2 linked regions of the Drosophila melanogaster genome follow. The protein of the gene in region 1 interacts with the protein of each later gene in a pairwise test. Each region holds a gene or a part of one and is shown in the gene's direction. Other genes may lie near its edges.

Evidence for each region.
Region 2: the proteins of Xe7 (region 1) and Sry-alpha interact in a two-hybrid assay, tested with the Drosophila melanogaster proteins (one large-scale study listed by BioGRID).

The regions. Positions count from the first base shown.
Region 1 is NT_033777.3:5,667,232-5,671,153, reverse strand, and holds the start of Xe7 (Xe7), read left to right. Parts: upstream 1-1,819; 5' UTR 1,820-2,326; coding exon 2,327-2,527; intron 2,528-2,683; coding exon 2,684-3,144; intron 3,145-3,203; coding exon 3,204-3,461; intron 3,462-3,765; coding exon of another isoform or gene 3,766-3,848; coding exon 3,849-3,922.
Region 2 is NT_033777.3:30,037,743-30,041,664, forward strand, and holds the start of Sry-alpha (serendipity alpha), read left to right. Parts: upstream 1-1,976; 5' UTR 1,977-2,070; coding exon of another isoform or gene 2,071-2,143; intron 2,144-2,196; coding exon of another isoform or gene 2,197-3,194; 5' UTR 3,195-3,519; coding exon 3,520-3,922. Other genes in the region: janB (janus B), read right to left, coding at 298-387, 449-573, 631-786, 845-896; janA (janus A), read right to left, coding at 1,121-1,213, 1,320-1,444, 1,503-1,692; Sry-beta (serendipity beta), read left to right, coding at 2,071-2,143, 2,197-3,194. UniProt on the Drosophila melanogaster protein: Required for the cellularization of the syncytial blastoderm embryo. Involved in the localization of the actin filaments just prior to and during plasma membrane invagination.

The DNA.
Region 1 (3,922 bases):
AAAAACAAAGAACAGCAGACCATTAAAACAGCAGATAATTAAAACCTAAAAATCGGTTGTAGTGTAGTAGAGTAAACATGGTCAGCTGATCGCCTGCATCTTATCGATATTCGATAATTCGATCTGCAACTCATTCTACGGGTTCCCTTTCCCCACTCCATCCGCTTCTTTCCTTCTGGTTCGCTCTCTCAGCTGTTGTTTTGCTTTGTTCCTTCTTGTTTTGCACTTATTCGGGTGCAGTGCAGTTAACAGGAAAAAGCTCTCGAATGACGAACAAATGCACACAGACACCGAGTTATTCTTGTAAAATATGTAAATTATGGCAATTAATTGCAATTTGGCTCAAACGGACGCACAAAACAACCAAAGCGTGAGGGTTGCTGACGTTCTTAAAAAAACAATAAAGAAAATGGCAGCAGGTGTATGTAGTTGCACTTGTTGTAAAGGCGGATGGGGAAAGGGGTGGAAAAAGAAGACGGATGGAATTTCTGCAGTGAAAAGGGCGTCGTCGGATCCCCTGGCGTTGGTGTGCTTTAAACTATAACTAACGGTTAATTAAACCATACCCTACTCACACTCACCTTATATTCTTTAATCAATTTCCACAATGGTCTCCAGTGGGACTGTGTTGCGTGTGTGTGAGTGTACGTGTGTGAAGTGTTATTGTTGCCTGGTTGTGTGCGCGGTGTGTTCGTGTTTTGGCTTTAATCAATTGTAAACGGGCACGAACACACAGGCTCTGCAAATTATTTTACATCAGCTGTAGCTGTATCTGTTTTCAAATGTGTTTATGTGATTGTTTTTATTTGCAACAGCAACAATAACATTTGTATCGCTTCTTCTTTATTTTCGCTCGTCTGCTGCTTCCTCTCTTTCAACGCCACTGTGTTGTTTTATTCTCTTCCTCGCCTTCCACGCTCTTCTTATTTATTTTGTATGGCTCTGCTTCTTCTCTTGCCTGCGTATTACCTATTACTTTAAAAACTATTTTCGTTGCGTATCAAATGTGCAAAAAGCATTAACTCGACTCTTCTTTTAGTCCCAATGTCTATCAATATGTTCGAGCAAGGAAATATTTTCCAAATAATTTATGCTGTTTTCGTTTTTCTCATTTCCTTCTGTTCTTCGCTGTTGCCCTCCTTTTCTTAATCTATTTCTTTGTCTATCACAATTGCGTTGTTGTTGCTACTGCTGCTGCTGCTGTGAGTGTTGTTGTTGTTGTTGTTAGTGCTTGCTTATGCTTTCTGTTTGCTGCTGCTTGTTGTTGTTGGCAGTTTTACTTTTCGCGTCAGTTTTTTGCCATTTACACGATGCGGGCACGGGAGCCTTTTAGGTATTTGGAGTCACACAATTTCACTCACGCATTTTGTTGCTTTGCTTAGATTTCTAATTAAATTAAATGGTATAAAAATTAAATAACGCACTTCGTTCTCACTTTTTTTTGTCTTTGCTTATGCCTCGCGATGTGAGAATGACAACATATTTTCAAGTTGATATCGATAACAGAGCTGGTGCGGAAACGATACTCAATAGCTGCCAACTTGTTTTTAAATGCCCGGCCTCCAGTGCGACGTATTAATTCTAAGAGTTACAAAATGTCCAAATGATTTTTATGAACATTATTTAAATTAAATTTAAATATCTCAGGTTAATATTGGGGTCTCCATTTAGTATTTGTGGCTTCAAAAGTTTATTTAGTGTGTATATCCCCGCATTAACATTAATTTTGGTTAAGTATTTGTTGCACCTTGCTTCTTACACCAGCTTACACCATTCTGTTTAGCCCTTGAGAATACCATCAACTGCCCAGAGAACCCTGTTTTTAGTCCATCCCTATTCGTTTCGTAAATCAAACCTATCGAAAGTCGGCCGCCTCTAGTGAAAAGTGCAAATAAAATAACCCAATAGAGTTTTTATTTTAGCAAATAGCGCAGCATCCGCACATAAAAAGTCACAGCATTTATTATACTTAAGTAGCATTAGCAGCGGTCGAAAGTTAAGGTGGCCCAAGTCCCTACAACAAACCGATACGGGCACCCATCAAAATCTTCCTCCTTAGCACACCTCCCCCCCCCCCCCCCCCCATTCTCATCTAGACACATTCACACTCACACCCACACTCATGAAACACTCATCTACGCAAGGGACACGGGCGGCATTTTCCTTTTGCATTATCCTGGGCGATTCTTGGGATGTCTCCTTAGGGTCTAGCTCTATGCTTGGGAGTCTTACTTGGTAATAGACACACAAATATTACTTTCTGTATTTTGCCTCATTACATTGCACTGTTTCGAAACGAAAAACCGAAAAAAAACACTTTTTCAAAATGACCCACATCCAGACTATAGAAAATGTGGCAGACTGCATTCCTTTTTACTTGCCGCACAGCTTGTACCTCAAGCCGCTGGCCAAAATGCAAATCTCCGTGTCGCTGCCGACGATCAAGTCCGGCAAATCCGTATCTAACCTGGAGATAATGGACAAACTGGGCGCCGAGCTTAAGCCGGACAAGTTTCTCCTGCTCAAAGTAAGTTAATAATCTTATCTTAACTCTGTGCATGCCAAACTACACACAAAAATAACATTTATTTAATTTAAACAAAATATCTAGAAATGTAAGTATGGATACGCATCCACTTCATATAATTTGAATCGAATTTCCATTATCTGTATGCCCGAACAGGTCTCGAAAAGCACTGTAAACACCATCCGATTGGAAGCTGAGCTGGACGAGCGGAAACGTCTTAGGGCGGCCATCCAACGATTGGACGGCATTTCTCTACGCATCTCCGGCTTTAGTGAGTCCTTCCGAGTGCGTTGTGCCGAGTCTAAGGATGACTTTCCAACGCGACACGACTGGGACTCATACTTCCGGGATGCCAGAAACATGGATGAAATGAAGGCCGGCGAACGTCCGGACACCATTCACATCAGCCATCTGCCCATGCGTTGGTTCTGTCCGCGTCACTCGGAGCACGAGGAGAACGTCAAGCCCAGCGAGAACATCTTTAAGCGAATCTTTGAAAAGTTCGGACGCGTCCGGATGGTTGACATACCTATCTGTGATCCGTACCGAAAGAGCATGCAGGCGGACATTAACGGCATGCGGACGTTTAGCTTCGAGCAGGATGTTCTATTCGAAGGGTAAGTTTCGAATAAGATACGAATACTAAGTTCGTGTAGCTAACACTTTTTTTGGACAGATATGTTCAGTTCGAGGAGTACTCAAGCTTCGTCCGGGCCATGGACGAGTTCAGGGGCAATAAGTTGGTCCGAAAGTTTGTGGACAAGACTCAAGCCATCAACATTTGTGTGAGCTTCGACAAACAGAAGCATCTCAGTGACTCGAACATACAGCGCCGAGAACGGATTCGGAAAAAGTTCATCGCGAAAGCCAAGGCCGAGGACGAGGAGCGGGAAAAACTTAAAAAACAGCAGGAAGAGGAATTGGATCGCGAAAGGTTTGATAACTTTTTAGGCCGGAAAACGAATACAGTAACCAAATGGCAATGCATCTATCAGATCTGCTTAAATCTTAATTTTTATTCTAACTTACTGATCTTCAGTACATACTTATGTACCTTAGAAGAAAGTTGATTACCATTGACTTATATTAGAATTAGAAATTGAAATATATCGCGTTTAGTATGGCTGCCTTTCTACTGTTTTCATATCCAGCCATTTTACATTTACTTATTTTTGCTTCTCACCTGGCGGCCGCTGGTCGAGGCGAGCCTTAAGCCAACCGTTCTCTGTATCTTCTAGACGAACAGTTAACAAATATTTATTATGCATAACAAATATATCAAAAGCAAAACAAAACACGCAACATTGCAAAAAAATTACAGGCAAAAGCAAGAAGAGTTGAAAAAAGCGGAAGCGGAAAAGCAGCGTGAACGCGAAGAAAGACGCAAAGAAAAGC
Region 2 (3,922 bases), about 24 Mb from region 1:
GTCAGAAGCCTTCCGGTCGTATGCTAAATTCAAGACTGACACGAAAATCGGAGCACATGTGATCATTCAAAAAGTACTAAGCCCTTGTATCTTGTGAAAGAAATTTTTGTATGAACTAAACTATAAATGCAAAATTACTCTTCTTTCTACTCTCTCCAGAAATGGAAATATCAACCATATTCCGCCAATTACAATCGCCTGTTCGATTACCCCTTAATAATATTGAAAGAGCGCTACTTTTATATTCTATTTTCTTTTTATTAGTACTGAATTTCCATTTTCGAAATTTATGCAACTTTATTGTTTAACGGTTATCTTAAAGTCCTTATAAGTGGTCCACGCTTGAAGTATATTCCTTGTCCTTGTGTGATCAGCACCGCCGAAAGTCTAGGGAGACCCATCAAGAACCATTAGCCGGTGCTTCAAGGACCAAGGATCCTCTACTTACCCTGGAGGTGCCATAGATCTTAATTTTTTTATTTTCTGCCTCGTTGAGAATCCTTCCACCACCGAGGATTTTGGCACATATGCCCTCGGGTTCCAGCTCCTCCAAAATCGAGTCGAAGACCGCCACTGAAAGAAGGATTTGTAAGACTGCTCAAGGTTAAGCGTCCAGCAGTGGAAACTCACAGTGATTGTCAACATCGGCGCCACGGACAATAACTCTTCCATACTTCGTGAAGCCATGCGTATGAATATTCACCAACAAATAACGATTCTGACCCTTGGTTATCTTGACCCGGGGAACGCCTACCAAACTTATCAAATCGGTTGAGTAACATTTTTCTAAAACCAAGTATATTAGGGCTTGTAAATCTTAATATTGAATATTCCTAAGCCTTACGAAACGGAGAAACAATATGAGGAAGCAGACGCAATGACTTGAACATTTTCATTTTATTTAACCAAAGGAAAAGAAACGAAATTTGTGTACAAACTGATTAATTTAGATCCGAAAAGGTTTAGTGCGAGCAGTTGCAAAGCTACAGACTAACTGCCTTTCAGAGCATTTCTCAATTTTAAATGCCATTTCCAATAAAATCATGGCACACAGGATCAAAGCCAATGGTATAAATTCATGTCAGTGTGCTTATGTGGAGTCTTCTCTCGTTGATTGCAGCTAATATCCCTCATCGGAGATTTCGATCGTGTAGTCCGGGTATTTGGTGGCCAGGATGCGTTTGGTCTGCGCGTGATCAGCTTTTCCAAAGCCCTTAAATAGAAAGACTTGATTAGAACTCCAGAAAATTTTTCAAGTAGTTAGATACATCAGTCCATCCACTGCCCAGCGACCCCTTTACTCAAGGGAATAGACCCACCTGCGAGTATCCGTAGACCTTCAAGTACTTCTTCTCGGGATTGTGTTCAATGCGACCGCCGCCAGGACACTCGGCCCGCAGCCCCAGTTTTTTAAAGACCTCCTCCTCGCGCTCGAAGATGTCGGCTGTGGGACAGTAACCAAGCTAAGTGGGCACTTGATGGGTGATGAGGATCCGACTTACCATGCCATGTGCAGTCCGCAAATCCGCGGATCACCGCCTTTGAAGCATCTCCTCCATCGAAGACATTGATCATGACATACTTGAAGATGCCCTCTGGACTGATGTGCACCAGTGGCACGCCGGCAAGTGCTTCCTCGGACATTTTGTGAATCAGTCGTAGTCCTTTGGAAAGCAGTTGGAGGCGATTCATTGTGGAAAAGTGTTTGAAAACAGAATTTAATGTCTTACCAACCGGCAAATTTTCCAAAAACGCTGCTTTAGTCCAGCAATGTGACCAGATACTTTTATTCTCGTTCACCTTATGTATCGATACTATTAAAATTATAATATTCAGTTATTTCTTTAGTACATTTGGGAAAACGTTTTTTGTACTACTCAGTATATTTTAGTAATAATTAATAAACTCAAAAAGAAAACGTTGTTATCAGTGACAGCAAATTTATCGATTACGCCGACAGCACGCAGTCGATACTATCGGCACTATCGGCACAGCTCTGGCGTTCACAACAAAATATACACAAATTAAATTGTTTAAGCCGAATTTTCGATTGGATTCCACGGCGACTAGATGAGCTCCACGCGTCCGTTTTGCTTCGTTTGCGGCAAGGAGAAGTCCGTGGGGGTGTTCCAGCTGATAGAAGGTAACGTTCGCTTACGCCGCACTCGAAAGTCCTGATAGCCGACTTTTTCACAGGCTGCATTGTGCCAGGAACCTTTAAGCCCATCAAGGATATACTGAAATACTTCGAGAAGATCATAAACCAGCGGCTGGAGCTCCTGCCCAACTCGGCCGCCTGCCGGGACTGCCTGGAGTACCTCTTCAACTACGACAGGCTGGTGAGGAATCTCAGCCAAGTGCAGCGCCAGATTGCGGACGCACTGCTCGGCTGCAGGCAGGTGGAGGGCAAGGCGGAGACCAAGCAACAGGCGGCAAAGAGGGCCCGCGTCCAGGTGCCGGCCTTCAAGATCGTCCAGGCCACCGCCCTCAAGGAGCCCGAAAGGCAGCCGGGCGAGGAGGATGAGTGCGAGGAATTCATGAAGGAGGAGATGCTGGACGAGGAGTTCCAGTTCAGCGAGCCGGACGACAGCATGCCGTCGTCGGAGGAGGAGTTCTTCACCGAGACCACCGAGATACCCTGCCATATCTGCGGCGAGATGTTTTCCAGCCAGGAGGTGCTCGAGCGGCACATCAAGGCGGACACCTGCCAGAAGAGCGAGCAGGCCACCTGCAACGTGTGTGGCTTGAAAGTGAAGGACGACGAGGTACTCGATCTGCATATGAACTTGCACGAGGGCAAAACAGAACTTGAATGCCGCTACTGCGACAAAAAGTTCTCGCACAAGCGGAACGTCCTGCGCCACATGGAGGTGCACTGGGACAAGAAGAAGTACCAGTGCGACAAGTGCGGCGAACGCTTCTCGCTCTCCTGGCTGATGTACAACCATCTGATGCGCCACGACGCCGAGGAGAACGCCCTGATCTGCGAGGTGTGCCACCAGCAGTTCAAGACCAAGCGCACCTACAAGCACCACTTGCGCACCCACCAGACGGACCGGCCGCGCTACCCCTGCCCCGACTGCGAGAAATCGTTCGTGGACAAGTACACCCTGAAGGTGCACAAGCGGGTCCACCAGCCGGTCGAGAAGCCAGAGTCGGCGGAGGCCAAGGAAGCCACCGTCACGTTCTTTTAGGGTAGTCCTTTGCTAGATTAATCTAAGAAGCCCAGCTCATGGGTGCATTAGCGCGCGTATGTATCATAAAATTAAATCTAAACAATTATTGACGGAAAGTACCAGTTCTTTGCCGTTCTTCGCCCATTTTCCAGGAACCCCAGTAGGTAAAGTAGCGGATTTCGCGAATTTTCGCGGGTATGGCAATAAAACAGGCAGATGTTTTTTAATCCCCAAAATAGGTCCTTTCTACCTGTGCGCTTGGCAAAGTATATAAAGGTGTTGCGTCGTCCGCCAGAACTTAGTTGAACATTTCTGTTTCCCGGAGCACATCTGATAGAACAGCATGGAACAGCTATTGGCCCAATTACACACTTGCAGTGAGCTGATTGCAGAGGGCTACAGCAGCACCGGCAACATTGGCTGGCTGAACGAGTTCTGCGCCACTTTCCTGGACTTCGCCAGCGATCTGAAGGCTAGGCTGCCGGAGGTGGCGCCCAGTGGCGCAAACCTTGATGTGGAGACCATCTTCCTGTGCCTCACCCAGGTGGTAACCTGCATCACCCACCTAGAGCGGACCATCAGCATGGAGGCACCGCATATGACCAGGCAGCACTTCCTCGACCGCTTGGACTGGTGCTTGCGGCGACTGCTCGTCTCCTTGACGCAACTGGAAGGCAACGTGACCCCAGTCAAGAACCTAGAGGATCACTCCTTCGTTGAGCTCATGGACCTGGCTCTGGACCACT